Drosophila melanogaster: one gene and its partners. The protein of the gene in region 2 interacts with the protein of the main gene of each other region in a pairwise test. Each region holds a gene or a part of one and is shown on either strand. Other genes may lie near its edges. The genes, in order: Amnionless, CG34331, CG14086 and Pebp1.

The links.
Region 1: the proteins of CG34331 (region 2) and Amnionless interact in a two-hybrid assay, tested with the Drosophila melanogaster proteins (one large-scale study listed by BioGRID).
Region 3: the proteins of CG34331 (region 2) and CG14086 interact in a two-hybrid assay, tested with the Drosophila melanogaster proteins (one large-scale study listed by BioGRID).
Region 4: the proteins of CG34331 (region 2) and Pebp1 interact in a two-hybrid assay, tested with the Drosophila melanogaster proteins (one large-scale study listed by BioGRID).

What each region holds. Positions count from the first base shown.
Region 1 is NT_033779.5:286,714-290,801, reverse strand, and holds Amnionless (amnionless), read left to right. Parts: upstream 1-1,657; 5' UTR 1,658-1,882; coding exon 1,883-3,400; 3' UTR 3,401-3,550; downstream 3,551-4,088.
Region 2 is NC_004354.4:20,120,915-20,125,811, forward strand, and holds CG34331 (uncharacterized protein), read left to right. Parts: upstream 1-1,538; 5' UTR 1,539-1,569; coding exon 1,570-1,761; coding exon of another isoform or gene 1,762-1,905; exon of another isoform or gene 1,906-2,147; intron 2,148-3,981; coding exon 3,982-4,194; 3' UTR 4,195-4,357; downstream 4,358-4,897.
Region 3 is NT_037436.4:19,274,151-19,280,452, forward strand, and holds CG14086 (uncharacterized protein), read left to right. Parts: upstream 1-1,640; 5' UTR 1,641-2,442; coding exon 2,443-2,569; intron 2,570-4,778; coding exon 4,779-4,839; intron 4,840-4,889; coding exon 4,890-4,964; intron 4,965-5,234; coding exon 5,235-5,483; intron 5,484-5,547; coding exon 5,548-5,674; 3' UTR 5,675-5,769; downstream 5,770-6,302. Other genes in the region: CG14089 (uncharacterized protein), read right to left, coding at 5,976-6,302.
Region 4 is NT_033777.3:22,464,505-22,467,221, forward strand, and holds Pebp1 (Phosphatidylethanolamine-binding protein 1), read left to right. Parts: upstream 1-1,529; 5' UTR 1,530-1,586; coding exon 1,587-2,117; 3' UTR 2,118-2,175; downstream 2,176-2,717. Other genes in the region: CG7054 (uncharacterized protein), read left to right, coding at 771-1,171, 1,233-1,371; CG5377 (uncharacterized protein), read right to left, coding at 2,642-2,717.

The DNA of each region.
Region 1 (4,088 bases), on a different chromosome or scaffold from region 2:
TACGGCGTGCCCATCGAAAGCGCCACAAAGATACAGAGATACATATGTGAGAAATTATGGGAAATTAAAAAACAAGACGGAAATGCGGCCAGCATCGGTTGTTTCAAGTGTTGAGCTCGAGACCAGAAAAATCAGCGAAGGAAAAATTATTTATATTCTAGGCCCGTATGCCGATGTTCGGGTTTATGTGTGCCATATGTTTGTTTATTTGTTTGTCTGTTCGCTGGGGATCGCCCCCTTTCCCCTTCGATTTTCTCTTACTTGCACGCTCTTTTTATCGGCCAGGCGGGGTCAACAACTGTGGAATACGGAGGAGTATCCGCCAGATACGGGAGCTGTGCTCGCCGAATTTCCTCATTCGCGCTGCACTTTTCCCTGATGGCAATGCACATTCCGTGTGGGAAAGCGTTTTTCGGCATTTTCTCGCCCCAAGTGTTTATTTGCTCAGATGTTCGCGGTTTTCCAGATTTTTGATTCCACTTCTTGACGAATGCGAGATTATCTGATGGGCGCCAATGTAAATGTGCCATACGTGGCAGTTGGCTTCGATTTGGTATTCTGCTATTCGGTGCTTCTGACGCCTCATTTACATATCGTTAAATTGTTAGAAAATCGATGGATTATTGCATTTTTCTCGCAGCTCCTTGGCAACTGGCACAAGCGAATGTTTCATTGTTGAATTGGTGAACGAATTTCATTTCGAATGGGTAAATAAATATGTCTTGAATTTCGGCCCACAGAAAAAAAAAGAAAAAATGTATTAAATAAGGAAATTAACGTCACTTAAGAGAAATTGTACTTGTAATTGAAGAAAAATGTATGCTGCCACAAATCTGGTTTTAAAATGGGCTATAAAATACATACATATATATAACGAGTCCACTTCTGATGTTATCTCCATACATTTTTCTCAACTTGACAATATTTCTGCTCAATCTCTTTAAGATATGACCCAGAAATGAAGATATTTTTGCATTAATTGCATTTATTCAAGAGAAGGAATTGTGCTCTTTTTTGATACGATGCTTTTACATATGTACATATTTCCACACCACGGCTTTCCATTTCCGTGCGTCTTTCCAGGAACATCTTAGTTTGTTATTGCATGACCTTGCTCGCCCTTGATTAACGCCGTCTGTCCCGCAAAAAGTACTTTGATCTGGTCAGCATAAAGTGCTTTATATCTACAGATCTTTTTCTTTTATGTAGTCCCTTGAAACGATCACGAGAACTTTTCGGTGCCACTACCATCCGGTTCATTATTTTCGTTGTCGAATTTTTACCTTTCTTCTGGTCTTCTGGGCATCTTAAAAATCTGGTGTGCTGAAATTGTTTATATCGGCGCAATCAAAATACAAATAAACTAACTATGTTCTGACAAACAATTGCATTGTTGAAGCAAACGTGAAATTATCTGTGTACGCTTTTTGCCAAATTCTCTTCGATTCGAAACAATTTATTAGTAAAATATATTTAAAGAAAAGATTTAGGTTTCGATCCACTAATAGGATTAGCTGTGTTTAGAATAAAAAAAAAATATATATATATAAGCAAAATCTTTGTGGAGAATATAAAGCATGAATTCCATGCTTTTCCAAATGTCATTTACAAACACAATATACATATACAAACTCCATTTATATTTTTATAAACATTGAAAAGTAACTATAAGTAACATAAGAACATGTTCCCAAAAATGATAGGGTATGAGTTGTCCCCATCAGCCTGATTTCCCTTACATCTGCTGTCCATCACCCCTGTGTTTATTTGCTCTCGTTGGTTCCAATTCTGATTGTTATCCGCCCCCAAATAAGAGGCAACATCATCGAATGGAATTCTCCGAACGTTTCAGATTTAGTTTAGAGTTCACTGAGTTTCCACGATGGGTTTGCATTGGCAATGGCTGATCTGGGCATTGGTGGGGCTCCATGTGGCACTGGCCACCAAGTGGTATGGCGGTGGAATGGACTTCAATGATCCCACCGCCTGGCTAGATGACCACTTGCCTTGTGCACAGGATTTGGTCGTTTTTCCAGAGTACTACCCAGCTCTGCTGCCCTTGCCCGAGGACATATCCATTGATGGCTTGGTTTTCCCCAGAGAAGGGGCGATCCTTTTGGCAGAGGAATCCACCATTACCTTTGGATCTGATAAGCAGCCCTCCTGTGAGAGCGATGAGAATAAGGCCTATTTGAAGCCACCGAAGTCGAGTAAATGGTTCGATCCTGGCACCTGGACGGACAAATCTAAGGAATTTTCCACATTCACACCAGAGCTGGAGAGGATTCCCTGTGATGACGAGCAGGTCATAATCAAGGGGCACGGACCATTGGCCTTTGACCTAGAAAACGTGCAGTATCTGAGGCTGGGACAGCTTATTCTGGCTGGTTCTTCCATTTCCAAAACGTACTTGGAGCAACTTATCAGCAGAGATCTGGGCCAGTTTCTCTTTTACAATGCCGAGTACGTCCAGGTGGAGTACTACAGAGGAGAGCTGTGTGGCTGCCACAAGGACTTCGAGCGACTGCTGGAACCCGTTTGCCATAATGTCCAGGAGCAGTGCGAGACGCCCCACTGCTTGTCTCCAGTTCGACCCTTGGGATCGTGCTGCCTAATCTGCGGGGCCATTCTATCCACGCCCACGACCCACTGCACCGAGGGCAGTAGAAAGGAGTTGGTGGCCCAGATAAGTAACCTCATCAGCCAGGAGAGCCTGAAGGATCAGATCGGCCTACACGTGGAGTTTGTGGGCTCCCAGAAGTTTGGAAACTGCCTGCAGGCGGTGGTAACTGATCGCCATAAATATAGTGAACGGAGCTTGGAGTTTCTACAGCAAAACGAACACAATTGGAACAAGACAGGAACAACGTTAAAAGTTTCTGGTCGACCCTATAATCCGAATGTTAGCTTCTCCTCGATTGTTCTCATCCTTTTCTGCATGGCACTGGTGGGTCTGGTTTCTGTGGTCATTTTGGCGCACTTTATGCCTGAGAACCCCTACCTAAACCGCATACCACAGTGGATCCACGACCCCCGTCTTTGGAGGTGGCGTCACTTGGGATTGAGACTGCGCCGGAATCTGCTGTTTAACCGCTTCGACAATGGTGGCGCAGAGGGTGGATCCAGTGAAGGAGGAGCTTCTGGTGTGGATCGTCTGGGAATTATGGCTTACGATCCGGAAAGTGGCGAGGTGAGGGAGCGAGCCTTTGACAATCCGATGTTTGAGCAGGGAGGAGCTTTGGAGGAGGCTGCCAAGGAGTCGCAGGAGCAGGATGAAATCCTGAGTGTCCCCAAAATGGAGACTGGTGATCTGGACGCCAGAAGTGTGGTGGATGAACAGGAGCTTACGGAAATCAATTTGGAAACCTGCGAGGCGGACACCGACGAGGAGACCATCTAATTAAGATTCTCAAAAATAAGACATAGAAACCTGATTCGAAAGCACCAATGGAGCATCACGTATAATCTGATGTACAATTTTAAGATTGTGTGTTCTATATATGTATATTAATAGATCTGCTTATTAAAGTATTTGTTATGATTACATTATAAATGTTCCTGGGCGCAGATGGTCCAGTAATTAACTCTATTTACAAGTTGTAGGCGGATCTGCGTGAATATTTTCGGATATTATTGTTCAGTGAATCAATTACTAACGCACAATCGATGCATCGCGTGTAACGAAAGGGCAAAGAACCAAGAGAGCACCTGATAATTTTACCAGGTAATTCAGTTAGCGGTGCCTTTTGTCGCGATGGCCTTGTTCCTTGACCTTCACAGGGGGTGGATTGGTGGTGATGGGACCGGGAAACGATAGTTGCCATTAGCTGCGAAGATATTTCCAGAAGCCTTTGTCCCCCGGCTCATAAATGTGGCTCATGTGTATCCGTATCTATTCATAGACACGCTTGGGAAGGCACGTGCCTCCCCCAGTTGCCATAGGATATGAATCCGTAGATATGCACGGATCTAGGGACGTGGGACGGAGGCGTACCGATGCGGATTAAGCGACCGCTTTCGGATTTCATTTTAGCTTCTGCCAATTCATTCTGAAGTGGAAATACTTTGTACTACGGCGATTGAGAGTG
Region 2 (4,897 bases):
TTATGCCGTTTTGCCAATTAGTCCATCAATTCCTTTCGTTCTGGCTTTGCATTTGTTGAATAACAATTGGCTAAAAAGCACTTTCAAGCCAGCTTTGTCCACACATTTGCATATGTATTTCATCACTTCCCGATGACAGCTGGGGGGTACGATACCATATTCTACAACTACTATCCAAAAATATATAGGCACGGAAATAGGGCCCTATGTACAATGTAGTCCTCGTCTTCCGGATGTTAACATCTTCACTTCGCTCGGTTTCATTGACTTTTCCCATGGGTGTGGGTAAAAAAGGCTGCGAAAATGGGAAAATTCGGGGTGGGGTTGCCTCTTGGCAGATGTTCCCAGTGTATTACATTTGAGCGCCGTAATTATTATTATTATTATTATTATTATTATTGTGTAATGTTATCATGATTATTTTTATGGTTTTTGCATTTTAAAACAAATGAGACTCGAGTATAGAAGCTCGCATGTATGCTGGCGGGTGCGCCAAAAATTACCCCAGAAATGGTGTTTTTATGTGGCTTTAACTGCCTGTCCGTTGCCCATCAATTTTACTAACTTCTGGCGAAATGACAGCGGCAGGGAGAAAGGAGAAATGTGAAAGCAGAAAGCAGAAAAGGAGCAAGGATACCAGCTCCACGAACATAAAAATCAAATTTCCGCGTAAATCGTTCGCTCAACATTTGTTATTTTGTGTACAAAAACGGAGAAAATCAGCGAAATTGTAGCCGTTTCCCCACAAAAATAATGTATAACATTTTGGCGAAAAAGTACACTTTTCCAATAAATAAGGGAGTGGCCAATGCCGATGATTCGAGGTGGTTCCAAGTAAATCAAACTCAAACAGCTCTTCAATAACATTTAACACTTATTCGTTGGAAAATATGTGACATGTTGAAGAAGCCCATAATCGACTTTATTTATATATGCATATAAATATATTAATATTATTCAGAATCACTAGCCGAGTTGATATGAACATGACCCCGTCCATTTGTCCGTCCGTAAAAACTGAGAAATCTAACAAGATCGTAAACTATTAAAACTAGATAGTTGTTGGTCGCTGTTTTGAAAACTGTTGTTTTTTAAAGTTTAAATGTAAACATAAACAAAAAATTAAACAGCCGCTAGATGAGGCTCCTACTTGCATATATACACATTTGTCTGCGGACGCTCTTAAGCCGAGTAATGGGTATCCGATAGTCGATAAACTCTATAGACTATAGAAATCTGTCTAGATTTCGTATTAATTATTATACATTTAATTGATACAATTTTACGATTTGTAGGCTCGTCTAGAGTTAAGTCGCAGAAATGCTCTCTCAACTCAAGCGGATCCAATCTGAAACTTGAGCCAAACCGAGGCGCAATCGCGAATGGGCAGATACTCGGGGAGTGCGTCCAGTTACAGTGATTAGAACGCGCGAGAGCTGAGAGCTGGGCTCGGTGACCTTGAGCGGGAAGTGAAACTGATAAGGCGGCACAATGGAGCACTGGAAGTGGATGCTCGAATCGAAATCTTGGAAACGGAACGGCATCAGTTGCTTCTTGCTTGCCACCGAGATGAGCGCAATAAAGCCCGCCCTGCTGCTCTGCCTGATCCTCACCATCGGTCTGTTCCTTGGTCAAGGTCGGGCGAATCCCGTGGAGACGAATGTTCCCGATATTCCCGCACCCGATGCCAACGAACTGGGCATCGATTTCGGAGAGGAGGAAGATGCCACCGACAAGCCACTGGGCATATTCACGATCAAGGTGCGCCACATTCAGCCGGACCCCGCCCACTGCGCCCAGCTCTCGCCACATCACCCACACCACCCCCAGTGCCACAGCTACTGCAAACGCCAAGGTCACTGGGTGGGCCAGTGCAAGAAGGACATCTGTCAGTGCTTTTCCTAGGTCTACTTCGACTGTAAGCCAAAACAGCGTTTTTTTTTTTCTTTTGTTGAGTGCAGCACAACTATATGACGAAATATGTGCAAATATGTTTATCTACCAACTAGTATATATATTAAAACTGGCAATGAACAATGAAAGCGAATCAAAATTGCTCAAATCATACACATAATATGTAGTCTTTGACCTTCTAACATGCACTGAATAGAAAAAGCAGAACCTTAATAAATCTTCAAGTTAAATTCAATTCCATTGGATGCTACATGGATTTTGGGTTTCTGGAGAACTAGTGTATGTTGGTTTTTAAAGGAATTTAGCTGAGCATTCAATCCGAAGTGTGATATAAAATGGAATATGTGATGGTAAAATGAATATTCATGGATCGACTTGCCCATAACCCAACCATTCCCATCAAGCGAAACTTTTGCAACATTATTGCTGTGCTAATTACCAAAATGGGTCCGGTCCGCATGTTATTATAACTTACGGGTTACTGAGATCGGTCAGGAGTGAAAAGAATTTCCAATTAAAACGAAATCCAAACTGAACTTCAAGGAGTCTGCGATTTAATGAATGTCATTGAGGGCCCCAGCCGCACCAATTATATCCATTAGTTGACATTTACGCAATGGATTGCGGATTTGAAGGAGGTGAAGTGGCGGTCCGAGGTCGCAGATACTCACATTATTGGCCAAGTTTGATTGATGGCATTGTTCTGTGCAATAAGCTGCAGGACTTACCCCAAGTGCCCCCCATCTGGATTCTCTCGGCTCTTCTGGGCTTCAGTGGGAATGCCCAAATCATAGCTTTGCCTAGTTAGATGTGACAAGGAAAATGGGTAAATGCGAAATAGATTTTCCATCCGTGTTGGCTCTGGCATTTCTATTCTATCCTCCTCACACATGCTGTAAACTGATTTTAGCTCAATATAATGTGACGTCTCTCGCTTTTGATAAGGGTTCTCCTCTCGGCCGGAGGCTGTCAAATGATAAGCAGCAGACAAGCCCAATAAAAGGGATATAGGCGGCACGAATGGCGAATTGTTATTATTATAACACTTGCCCGGGAAGGAGGGTTCGAGGGTTTCCCAAAAACAAGGCACGCACGAATGCCTTTCTAATTAAAAATTCAAAAACCTTTTTTCAGCCACTCACCAAATTGGCGAATTACGTGCCAAACAGAAAGAAAGAAGGTTCCCAGCTCGAATGGTGGAAGTATGAATTATTTATAGATATATGATTTTTATAAGCACACGCATTATAACAATTGAATCGCAATGGCTGGGATCAATGCAGAGGTGAATATTCCAATTAAACTGTTATTGATGCTTTTTTAAAACAACTTAAAGTATGCACACGCCAGTCGTATGAATATAAATATACCTATATTCCGAAGACATAAACTTTGACCCGCCTTTGCAAACTTCCCTACGTACATAATAGTTCATGATCATGATGAAATTAAGTTCCCTTAAAGTGAGTACAAGTTTTTTGAATATTATGTTTAGTTTTTGGCCTCATTACATCTCGTCCGATTAGATGCTGGGCCTTATTAGTTAGATTGTTAATCGTTTTGGGGCAGCAGGTAAGTCGCCTAGGAGGGATGGTTGGTGGGTGGGAGGGGTTACTTAACTGGCGCCGGGGGACACGGGATGGCGAATCCAGGATGCAGGCAGAGGCTCCACATTGATGGCAGATACTCCCCCAGCTTACATATAAAAATATACATACATATTTTCGTGTATATCTTTATAATAATTTGTTTGCCAGCAAAACTCTCCCCGGGGCACATTTAACTAAGGCACAGCCAAGGACAGCATTGATGGAGAAGTGGAAGGATGGGAGGGTCCTGCCGAAGGATGTGAGGTGGCGAGTATGCCGGCCGAACTGACTGCTCGTGGCAATTATAAATTGTTGAAAATAATTTCATTAAATATGTAAAAAGGCGACGCCGAATAGAGAAGCGTATTAAAGGCCGGCAGTGGGATCCTTTGGCTGCAGGAGTGTGTGTGTGTGTGTGTGTGTGTGCTCCCAACTACGTGCCAGCTATTAACTTTGACCCCCCCCCCCCCATCAACAGCACCCCAGGATACAGGAACCCCGGGACGCTGCCGCCACCTATCGTTGCGACCCTCGAACTTCGCCCCCCACTTCCGATGGCCTCGGGAAAAAGTTCCCCACCTTGAGTGCACATTGTGACGAAGATGTGATGCCAGTGCCGAGAGCACTAAGTAACTTATTAGCCCCGGGAAAAGTCGGCTTTTGGGCACATTCCATTTGCTTGCAAATTTAATGATTCCACCAAATGAAATTTCATTCTCGCTTCGCAATTGTTCATTTCACCTGCCGCGGAGAGTGCCATTGCAGTCCGCTGCAGGAAACTAAGTTGGCAACCTAATGAACCCTTACTGGACAAAAAAAAATCATTGGAAATGCGAAAATACAGTCTGCACTCGAAGAAATGGACAGCACATAGCCAAAGCTATGAGAGCATTGCAAACAATATCTTTATGGAACATTTCGGATTGAGAAAAAAAGATGATTTAATACAAAATAAAAGAAGCATTTGAAATACAATATAAATATATTTATCTTATCTGAAACAAACATTTGATAGCGATTCGCATTAAATTTCATTTAATTGAATTTATACAATTTAATGGATTTTTTTTCACGAAAATATATAATCATTTTCTTACTCTGTGCTTCTGTTCACTCTGTTATGTTTCCATTAACATGAGCATATATGGCCAAGTCAAAGAAGTGTGTGCAAAAAAAGTAAAACAAGAGATAATTGATTTGTTATTTCCATTATAAAGCTTACTCGCTTCCTGCACGGGTCATAACTTTGCGTGCATATTTCGGAGAAATGAAAATTATGAAAAATTCTATGTCTCTTAAGGATCTTCCACAGGGATTTCCTGCGCCACTTAGCCGCCTCGTCGCACTCACAGCCACTCCCTTTCTGCATTTCAGTATTTCAGCATTTCAGCATT
Region 3 (6,302 bases), on a different chromosome or scaffold from region 2:
GTAAAATTTTGTTTTTGCAAATTACAACTTTTTTCATTGTGTACAGTGTAAGACCAATTGCAAGCATAGAAGACCTGGACAAACGACTCCAACTGCAGGAGGCGGTATCAAGGACGACCTTCAGAAGTATTTCGCTAGAATCCTCGAGCTGTTCCTTAAGGAAATTAACTTTTCAGAGTGTGGGGCATCTGTGAATTATGTCGTAGATGGCGGCGACAGTGGAGACTTTCCTTGGGGCGACGGCTGCCACTTTGGATGTCATTAACGCCGCATAATGCAAACAAGCCTGACGACAGACACCTTAGCAAATGCACAGGACAATAAGCGGAGGAGCTAAAAAAATATTTACTCGTGCTTCCCCTCTCCTGAATTTGGCCCCCATTTAATTTATGAGGATGAGGGCGGTGTAGCAACCGAAAATGTTTTTGTCCACATTCTGCGTACTCGTCCGCCTCTTGGCAATTGCTCAGCTTTGCTCCTGGTTGTCTTTTGAGCTTCTTTACACCTCCCGCCGCTCCGCTCACCATTCAGCCAGTTATGAAAATTACTGAAACGTGGCCAAAGACGGGTGCGGGGATCCACAGGACCTGCAGGACGAGGGCACGCACACACAGAGCCGCTTGAGCAGTGGCAACAACATGAGGCACTGGCTTCACACACAGGACAACGTGACAAATAAAATCAAGCTGGCTTTGAGCAGTGGGCCGAGAATCCTGTTTTAGGCTTAAAACTTCAATATTTGTAATAGTTAAAGATTATCTTTACACCTGGTAGAATATTTATCAAGTGCATATAAGTAAGATTTTCGTTGTGTAAAATCGTAGGTAAATTTCATACTTCCCTCTTCTTTTACATTTGGAAAAATCGTAATCAAGTAAGCATTCGGGTGGGAATATATTTAAATCACACACAATATTAAGCTCTCGCCCATGGTGCCTTCTTGTAAAAAACCGCAGGACTATAAAGACTGACCCAATGCGCTACGCTACACAATAAATCGCGAGAGGAAACACTTTTTACAAAAAAAAAGAGATAAAACATACAAACAGTTCTAATTAAAATACTGAAGACAAAAAGAAAATTAATTATTTATTTGAGTTCCTTAATTATATTAACAATGTAATTCAAAAATTGTATTCCTACTACAATACTAAAAAAAAACCAAGTTAAATAACTTCTGATTGAAATTAAAGCATTATTCTAGTTAAAAATCAGCCCTATATTCTTGCTTTCAATTAATATATTTCAAGAGCATAGTTTTAAAGAATTCTCATACTGCCAACGCCAAATAAGTTTTCAAATACAAATGATAGTGGATGTCAAAAACAGCTAACCAATTAAAAACATCTTTAAAACAACATGGATAAATTTTGCGGTCTCCATAAATCTCAGCATTAAATCGCAAAAACGCATTTAAAAAGAAATAAACACTACGCGTTCGTTCTCGTAACAAATCAACTTAGCAGTTTCGAATGCAGCGCCGCCCCATTGGCTGGTATTTGGCTACAAAGTCAGTGGCAGTAGGAAAAGCAATGGGAAAAGCAGCCTGAGCGGCGACTCTGGATCCTGACTCCGAAAATAGAAACGAATCCTGGCCGGTCCTTTCATTCAGTTTCATTCTGCTGGCGCCGCTGGAAGCGTGCGGACGTTCGTTGTTTAGAGCTCGGCCATAAAGTCGTGTGGCAAAGTGGCACTTGACAAAAATAAAAAAAGTTACAAACCTTCAACAACAATAAGAAAAATATTTAATAAAAAAAATATATATTATAGAGGGCACACAACGTGCGGGGGCAAAGTGCAAATGGTAACGGTAATTTGCAGACATTAGTTGCCACACACACACACACACACACACACAAGCAAACGGTGCGGTGATTAAAGGCAATGGAAGGAGAGGTGCGAAAAATGTCACATTACGAATACGCAGTGTGTGCCCGAGTTAAATGGTGAAATTTAAAAGCTGTGCGAGCTGGAATTGAAAATATTTATCGCAAAGTTGTTTGGCCACTTAGTATGCCAGGCACGTAGTGCATTTTTGTGATGTGGATACGGCTCTTTGATTGTTTTATTAGCGATTCCCTTGGACAGGACCTAAAACGTCAGTTTCGGATGAGAGTATTTAAAGTTATGGAGGATTAGAAAGTAGTACATTGAAAATTTGAATTTAACCAAAAACTAAAATTGTTCTAAAGTGAAATTAAAAACGAATAAATATATTAAATAAATTGGAAATTAAGTAAGTGGAGCTTACACATTAATCAAAAATTTAAATGCTATGGCTTCGACTTTTGTCATCAGTAATAACGAAGGAGAAGAAAAACTTGAGCTCCAATAAATAAGATATTAAGAATAAAGCCGCACTTTTGGCGATTCATAAAACAAATATAGATAGAAATTCATAAAGTAAATATCTATATATATATATATATAACCAAGTCAGCCATGAGCCAGATGCAACTGCAATCGCAGCGCGTTCGCCGCGCCCGTCATCATCGCCGCAATCAGTCCGCAGAGCCGTGCGAGTGCCTTCGTCCTGTGATAAGGGTTTTTGGTCTGCTGACTTCATTCGGTAAGCTCAAGTGCGCGGAAATCCGAGCCAGTGGAATAAGACTTGTCGGTGCCGGTGCCCAGGTGACCCCCGTTTCGAGATAATGCCAATCTCGATACGAGGCTATGATGCATGTGCATGTGCATGCATTTATGTATGAATGTGCAATGCTTTTCTGGCCCTTATTTGGAATGTTTACCCTTGACAAATCGTAGGAAATACTTGTGCATGGGAACCATTGCCTCGGGATATGTTGAGTGCTGTGGCTTATTATATTTCTTGGCACTGAATGGGATTCGCAAGACGAAGACGATGCTGAATGGGGACACGCTCTTATTGGCTGCTTTTATTGTTCCTTTCAATTCATATAATATTACTCTTTGAGCAATATTTTCATTGTACACAAAGGTTTTGCATTTGTTTGAGAAGACTGGCAAAATAAATGTACATAAAAGGAAATGGTTTTCCATATTCACAGAGCACATATAGCACAGAATATGTGCTCTAATGAACAGGATATTTGACCTAATGTAATTTGGTAAAATAAATAAATGCCATCCAATACTACTGAAATTCCAGTTTAGCTTAACAATTAAATAGAACACAGAGAGTAAATTGGTAGAAGATTAATTTCCCTTTTTTTGCGTCATTTAATTACAATTCAATTATGCTTTTTTTGTACAACCCAGCTTTGTGTTACATTTTTTCCGTTTAAATTGAGGCAATAATTTTAGATTGACAGCCTGAAATTTAATGGCATTTCGTTTGTCAATTTACGAAGTCAAATTTAATTTATTAAACAGGCAAGGTAAAGTGAAGCAAAAACTTAATAAATAATAATATTACCTTTCTGAAATGAATTCAGTTTGGTTGCACAACGTAACTTTTTCACCCTGTATCCGCATTCTAATCTACGAAAATGCAATCACATTTTTTCATCCCAATTTTTCTGCCATCTGGTGAAGTTATCAAAGTTGGCTTAAACGCTTATCGTGGCCAATCATAACGATTTTCCTCCACCATCTGACATTTTCCTAATGCGCTTAAGATAGTGCACCGCCGTTTTTTTATACAGAATTTGATAAATCGCCCAGCTGCAGGCAGGCCAACAAAAACTTCGGGTCAAGTTCAAACTAATTTCTTTGCAAATTGTTTTGGGGTCCATCATGGGTGCAGTGGCACGCAGGAAAACAAAGTATAAAATCTCTGTAGTTCATAAGCTCCGCATTATAGGGATCGGGTAAGAGGGATGGGGTTTTCCAAGGAAACTCTCTGGCAGAGCCATTAACAAGGCATTGGCCTCTATGCAGCTTGCAGCTTGCAGCTCACGACTGGCATCCTGTGCCAAGAGCAGAGTTTTCCCAGCCCGATTTTCCCCTTATCAGCAACTTTTCCATACGGTCGACAATGAGCTGTGTTGTTAGCCTTTAGGCGCCAGCCATTCGCCAAGTTTTCCTCTTGCCCGGCATCTATTTTTCCCCCACCGCTTTCAATTATCCAGATAATTTTTGCATGTTTTTTCGATTTCCGCTTTTTCAATTTTTATCTCCGTTGACAGCATTTAATGTAATTGGTTTGGTTTCGGTTCTGCAGTTGTGCTTAAATATGGGGCATACATATACATATATCTAACTGGCTAATCTGATTGGTTTTTCGCGACCCGGCATAATAAAAACAACTTAATTAGATTGTATTTTTATGGACCACTGGGCGTGGTGGCTCCATAACCACATCTAACCATATCTTATACACTCAAAGTGGATTTGGCTAAGACAAAATGTGAAGCGGAACCATAATGTGGTTAGAATATGAATGCCCTGCGGAGGGCTGTTCGACAAAAATATAGAAACCTTTTAAGTTATAAAATTTAAGTTCGTCATGAATATTGAAGTTTCTTCCAAGCTATTTATTATTAATTATCATTATGTTATTTCGTAATGTGTAGGACATTGCCTTCTTAAAATACTCTATTGCAAATGATGTAAGCTTCAGTAAAATTGCGATAAACTTCTTGAGCTCACCTCGTTTCCATTCATTGGTTTTGTATTACATTTTATGGCCAAAGCATGGTAAACAAAAAAGGCCCAGCTCAATAAATATGCTTATAAATATATTTGCCTAGACACACTCACATTATTTTATAGGCTCGTTCAAGGATAACACTCCTCGTTTCAACCCGCCAAAAAGGACCCCCCGCACCGAACCTTTCTTTAGCCATTTTTCATTTCAGTTATCTGCGGCGTTGGCGTTGATGTCTACATGCATGGCTATCGGGCCGGTCTTTATATAGTGTAAGTCACGGATCTAAATATCCCCCATAACTATACTAATTTCTGGTTAGTTTTTCAGCCGTGCTGGTAATGTTTATCGAGATCAAGTGGCTTGTGACTATCTTCCTGCAACTTCAGTGCGCAGAGTAAGAAAACTATTCAAGATTACCAAATAACATGTTCATAAATTATAGTTATTCGTATATATATTATTTGATAATTAGCAGTTATTATTTATGAAATATAGAAATTCTAGTTACCAAGCCTAGTAGTTGTAAAACTAATTAAACCCTAATTATACTATAATATGATATACTTTACTATTATATACAATACTCTATATCAAGTGCCTTTGCTCAGATTTTTCTCTGCAAATTTTTCTCTGTTCACATATTTGTGAATTCAATTTGTTTCAGGGATAATTACCAGCGAAGGTCCTGCAGCTGCTTGGCCTGCTGGCGACTTTCAGCGATTTGTGGCGGTTGGCGACCCACTCCTGTTTATGCGGTCATCGGCATCTGCCTGATCCTGTATCCCCACAATCTGTGGCTGAGTTATGTGGCCGGGATGTTCCTGATACTCCTCGGACTCCTCAGACTGTGCACGCTGCTCCGATTCAGCGCCTCGAAGGAGGAGGGTCTCCTGCCGCAGTGCGACTTTGAAAAGTGATGCCAGCCAACGAATGTCTTTGTTATTTGTTTCTAATGTCTGTTTGTTCTGCGATGATAGGGTGTCGAGCTTTGTGGATACCATGGAGGATGATTTCGCGGAGATTGGTGCCACGCAAGCGGGATTGGATGAGGAAGCGGAGGAGGAGGGCGACGACCACACCGCCCTAGACGACGATGTTTGCTAATAGTTTAAGCCAGCTTTTCTGCCTAATGTAATGTGAGATTTTAAACGACTTAACAAATGTCTAATAATATACAGTTTGTAAAGAGGTTTCGATTTAAACGCTGAGTGCGTGGTATATTTTTATAGGTAATCGATAAACCCACACTTTGTATGATTTTTGGTGTCATTTATAAACGAAGCCACTCAAAAGTCAAAAAGGACATTCTTCAAAAGAATTTTGAAAGTTCCTTTTAAGTATTGGGTATCTGCTTTTTACCTACAGAAATAATTATCAAAGCTATTTCGTTTTAAATAATGTTATTTTAATTTCGTCTTTTATTGTTTTTTGTGCTAAACGGATTTCTGCGTTCACTAAAGGCCAAAATGAAGGGCTGGTCGTCGAATTCTTCGGTTTTTCTCAGACCAAAAGAACGCTCATTGCCGTAATCATACTCGTCCTCATCATAGTAGTTATAGTAGTGCCTCTGGTGGCCTTTAGGGCCTCCATGTCCATGTGATGGAGGAGGAGGAGGTGGAGGATACGGATACGGTGGATATGAACCTCCGGGATATCCAGGAGGACCCTGAGGACCAGGTTGGCCAGGGATTCCAGGCATCCCGGGGTGGCCCTTATCTCCACGCGGCCCCTT
Region 4 (2,717 bases), on a different chromosome or scaffold from region 2:
TATTTAATAGACCAAAACTCTGTCAGCGCTATCAATATTGATATTCAAGTGTTAATAATATTCGAATTGTTTAATAAATAAATTAGCATGATATATACTAAAAATGATGTGTTTCTCATTGGTGAAAGGGTATCGTTATATGGCTTTTCCCTATATCGAACTGATATGCCCAACAATAGAACGGAAAGGTACGATTACAACCTCATAAATGGGTGATATACAACTTTATGATCAGCCCACAAGTGCTGTCTTCGCTATCACGTGTGCACATTGGTTCAAGATCAGCTAAATCCTGAAATTAACGTCACAATTATTGATGATGTTCAACGAAGTGAAAACTAGTTTCTAGCCATGAATCATCGCACCAATGGAAGTGATCTTTGCGTTTTGGGAAAGCAAAAAAGGGCCTAAAAATGCCAGTTGGCATAAAAGCTTGCTTATCGTGGAAGGGGCTTTTCACAATTTTCCATCGGCGCTAGAAATCAACATTGTCCAATCAGTTCACCCACTGCGATAAAGTTTATTCCGCTGTGTCCATTAAACTATTATTTCTAGGTGTTAGCTGTTGCCAGCGCTGGATAGCCTTGACTGGTTTCGCCATCCAGATACTAATTAATTGGACTGGAAATTTTAATAAATCCGTAGATATCCGCTGAATCAGAGTGAAGCTTTTGCTTTGTTATCACCCAGCTGGCTTGGTCAGCAGAGTGATAACGCCACGAAAAAAAAACCGTATTATCATCTTTTTGGGCTGACACGCTACACGTAACATGGATGACATAGTACCCGATGTGCTGGATGCGGTTCCCGCTGGCACCATTAAGGTCATCTATGGCGATGACTTGGAGGTCAAGCAGGGCAACGAGCTAACCCCCACCCAGGTGAAGGACCAACCGATTGTCAGCTGGTCTGGGCTGGAGGGAAAGTCCAACCTATTGACCCTGCTCATGGTGGATCCCGATGCACCGACTCGTCAAGATCCCAAGTACCGTGAGATTCTGCACTGGTCTGTGGTCAACATTCCCGGCAGCAATGAGAATCCTTCTGGTGGCCACTCCCTAGCGGACTACGTTGGATCTGGACCGCCCAAGGACACTGGCCTGCATCGGTATATTTTCCTCCTCTATCGCCAGGAGAACAAGATCGAGGAGACGCCCACTATATCCAATACGTATGATATATATTAAGATATTTATCAGTTTACTGTGACACTGATCAATTCCCATTCACAGTACTCGCACAGGCCGTTTGAACTTCAACGCCCGGGACTTTGCCGCCAAACATGGATTGGGCGAGCCCATTGCCGCCAATTATTACCAGGCCCAGTATGATGACTATGTGCCAATTCGGAATAAAACGATCGTAGGCTAGATTTGTGCATATATCATGCAGGGTTTTCAATTCCCCGTCAATAAAGTTTAACCAATTGCTTATCTCGCTATCTATGCGTTGGGGTATTAACTGAAAAGTGCACGGAACTGATTAGGCGGCGGACTCCGTCGATAAAAGGCCAGACATCAGGGATCCGGGCCAGAGTCAACTCGCTAACGCTACACCGAGCAGAAGCAACAGAACTACCAGCTAACATGGACACCGCCGGCATTATTCCCGACATCATCGACGTCAAGCCCGCCTCCAAGGCCACCATCACCTATCCTTCCGGCGTTCAGGTTGAGCTGGGCAAGGAGCTGACTCCCACTCAGGTGAAGGACCAGCCCACTGTCGTCTTCGATGCCGAGCCCAACTCCCTGTACACCATCCTGTTGGTGGACCCCGACGCACCCAGCCGCGAGGACCCCAAGTTCCGTGAGCTGCTCCACTGGCTGGTGATCAACATTCCCGGCAACAAGGTGTCCGAGGGCCAGACCATCGCCGAGTACATCGGTGCTGGACCCCGCGAGGGAACCGGCCTGCACCGCTACGTCTTCCTGGTGTTCAAGCAGAACGACAAGATCACCACCGAGAAGTTCGTGTCCAAGACCAGCCGCACTGGCCGCATCAACGTCAAGGCCCGCGACTACATCCAGAAGTACAGCTTCGGCGGTCCCGTGGCCGGCAACTTCTTCCAGGCCCAATACGATGACTACGTGAAGACCCTCATCGAGACGGTCCAGTAATCTGGCCACCAACTGATCAGCTCTCTGTGAAATAATAAATATTAAATATGTACTAGTTCTCATAAAAGTTATCTCATACATGCTTGTGGGCGGGTCTTTTGCTATGCGATTTCCATAAGCAGCTGAAGTATATTTTTATAAGAATTACTTTTGATAACATTTCCGGAATTAATTTAAACTTGCCCGAGGCTTTGATATCTTTCTTTGAAGTTAAGTTTATAAAAGCGAGAGAAAGAAATGTTTATAATTAATCATTTATTTCCCTTTCGCTAAGTTAGGAGATATGGTTATTTTTCAATTTATTTCGAAATGATTCATTGAATAGATAACAATATTCTTTAACTTAGATATGAATTTGATTCATCAAAACTATCAGTTTCCTTTTAAAATTCGAACTTTGAACACCTGCATGCTCATTTCTGATAACTGCTTTCACATATAACGAATATCCATCCAACTTCAAGTTACCATTGTTAAACAAGTAATGAGTTTGGATCCATGAAAGCTTAAATATATTGGTTAATCTAGTTATTTTTGTTAAAGAAATCGGCCACCAGTTTGTTAAACTCCTCCGCATAACGTAAATGGATATTATGCTTC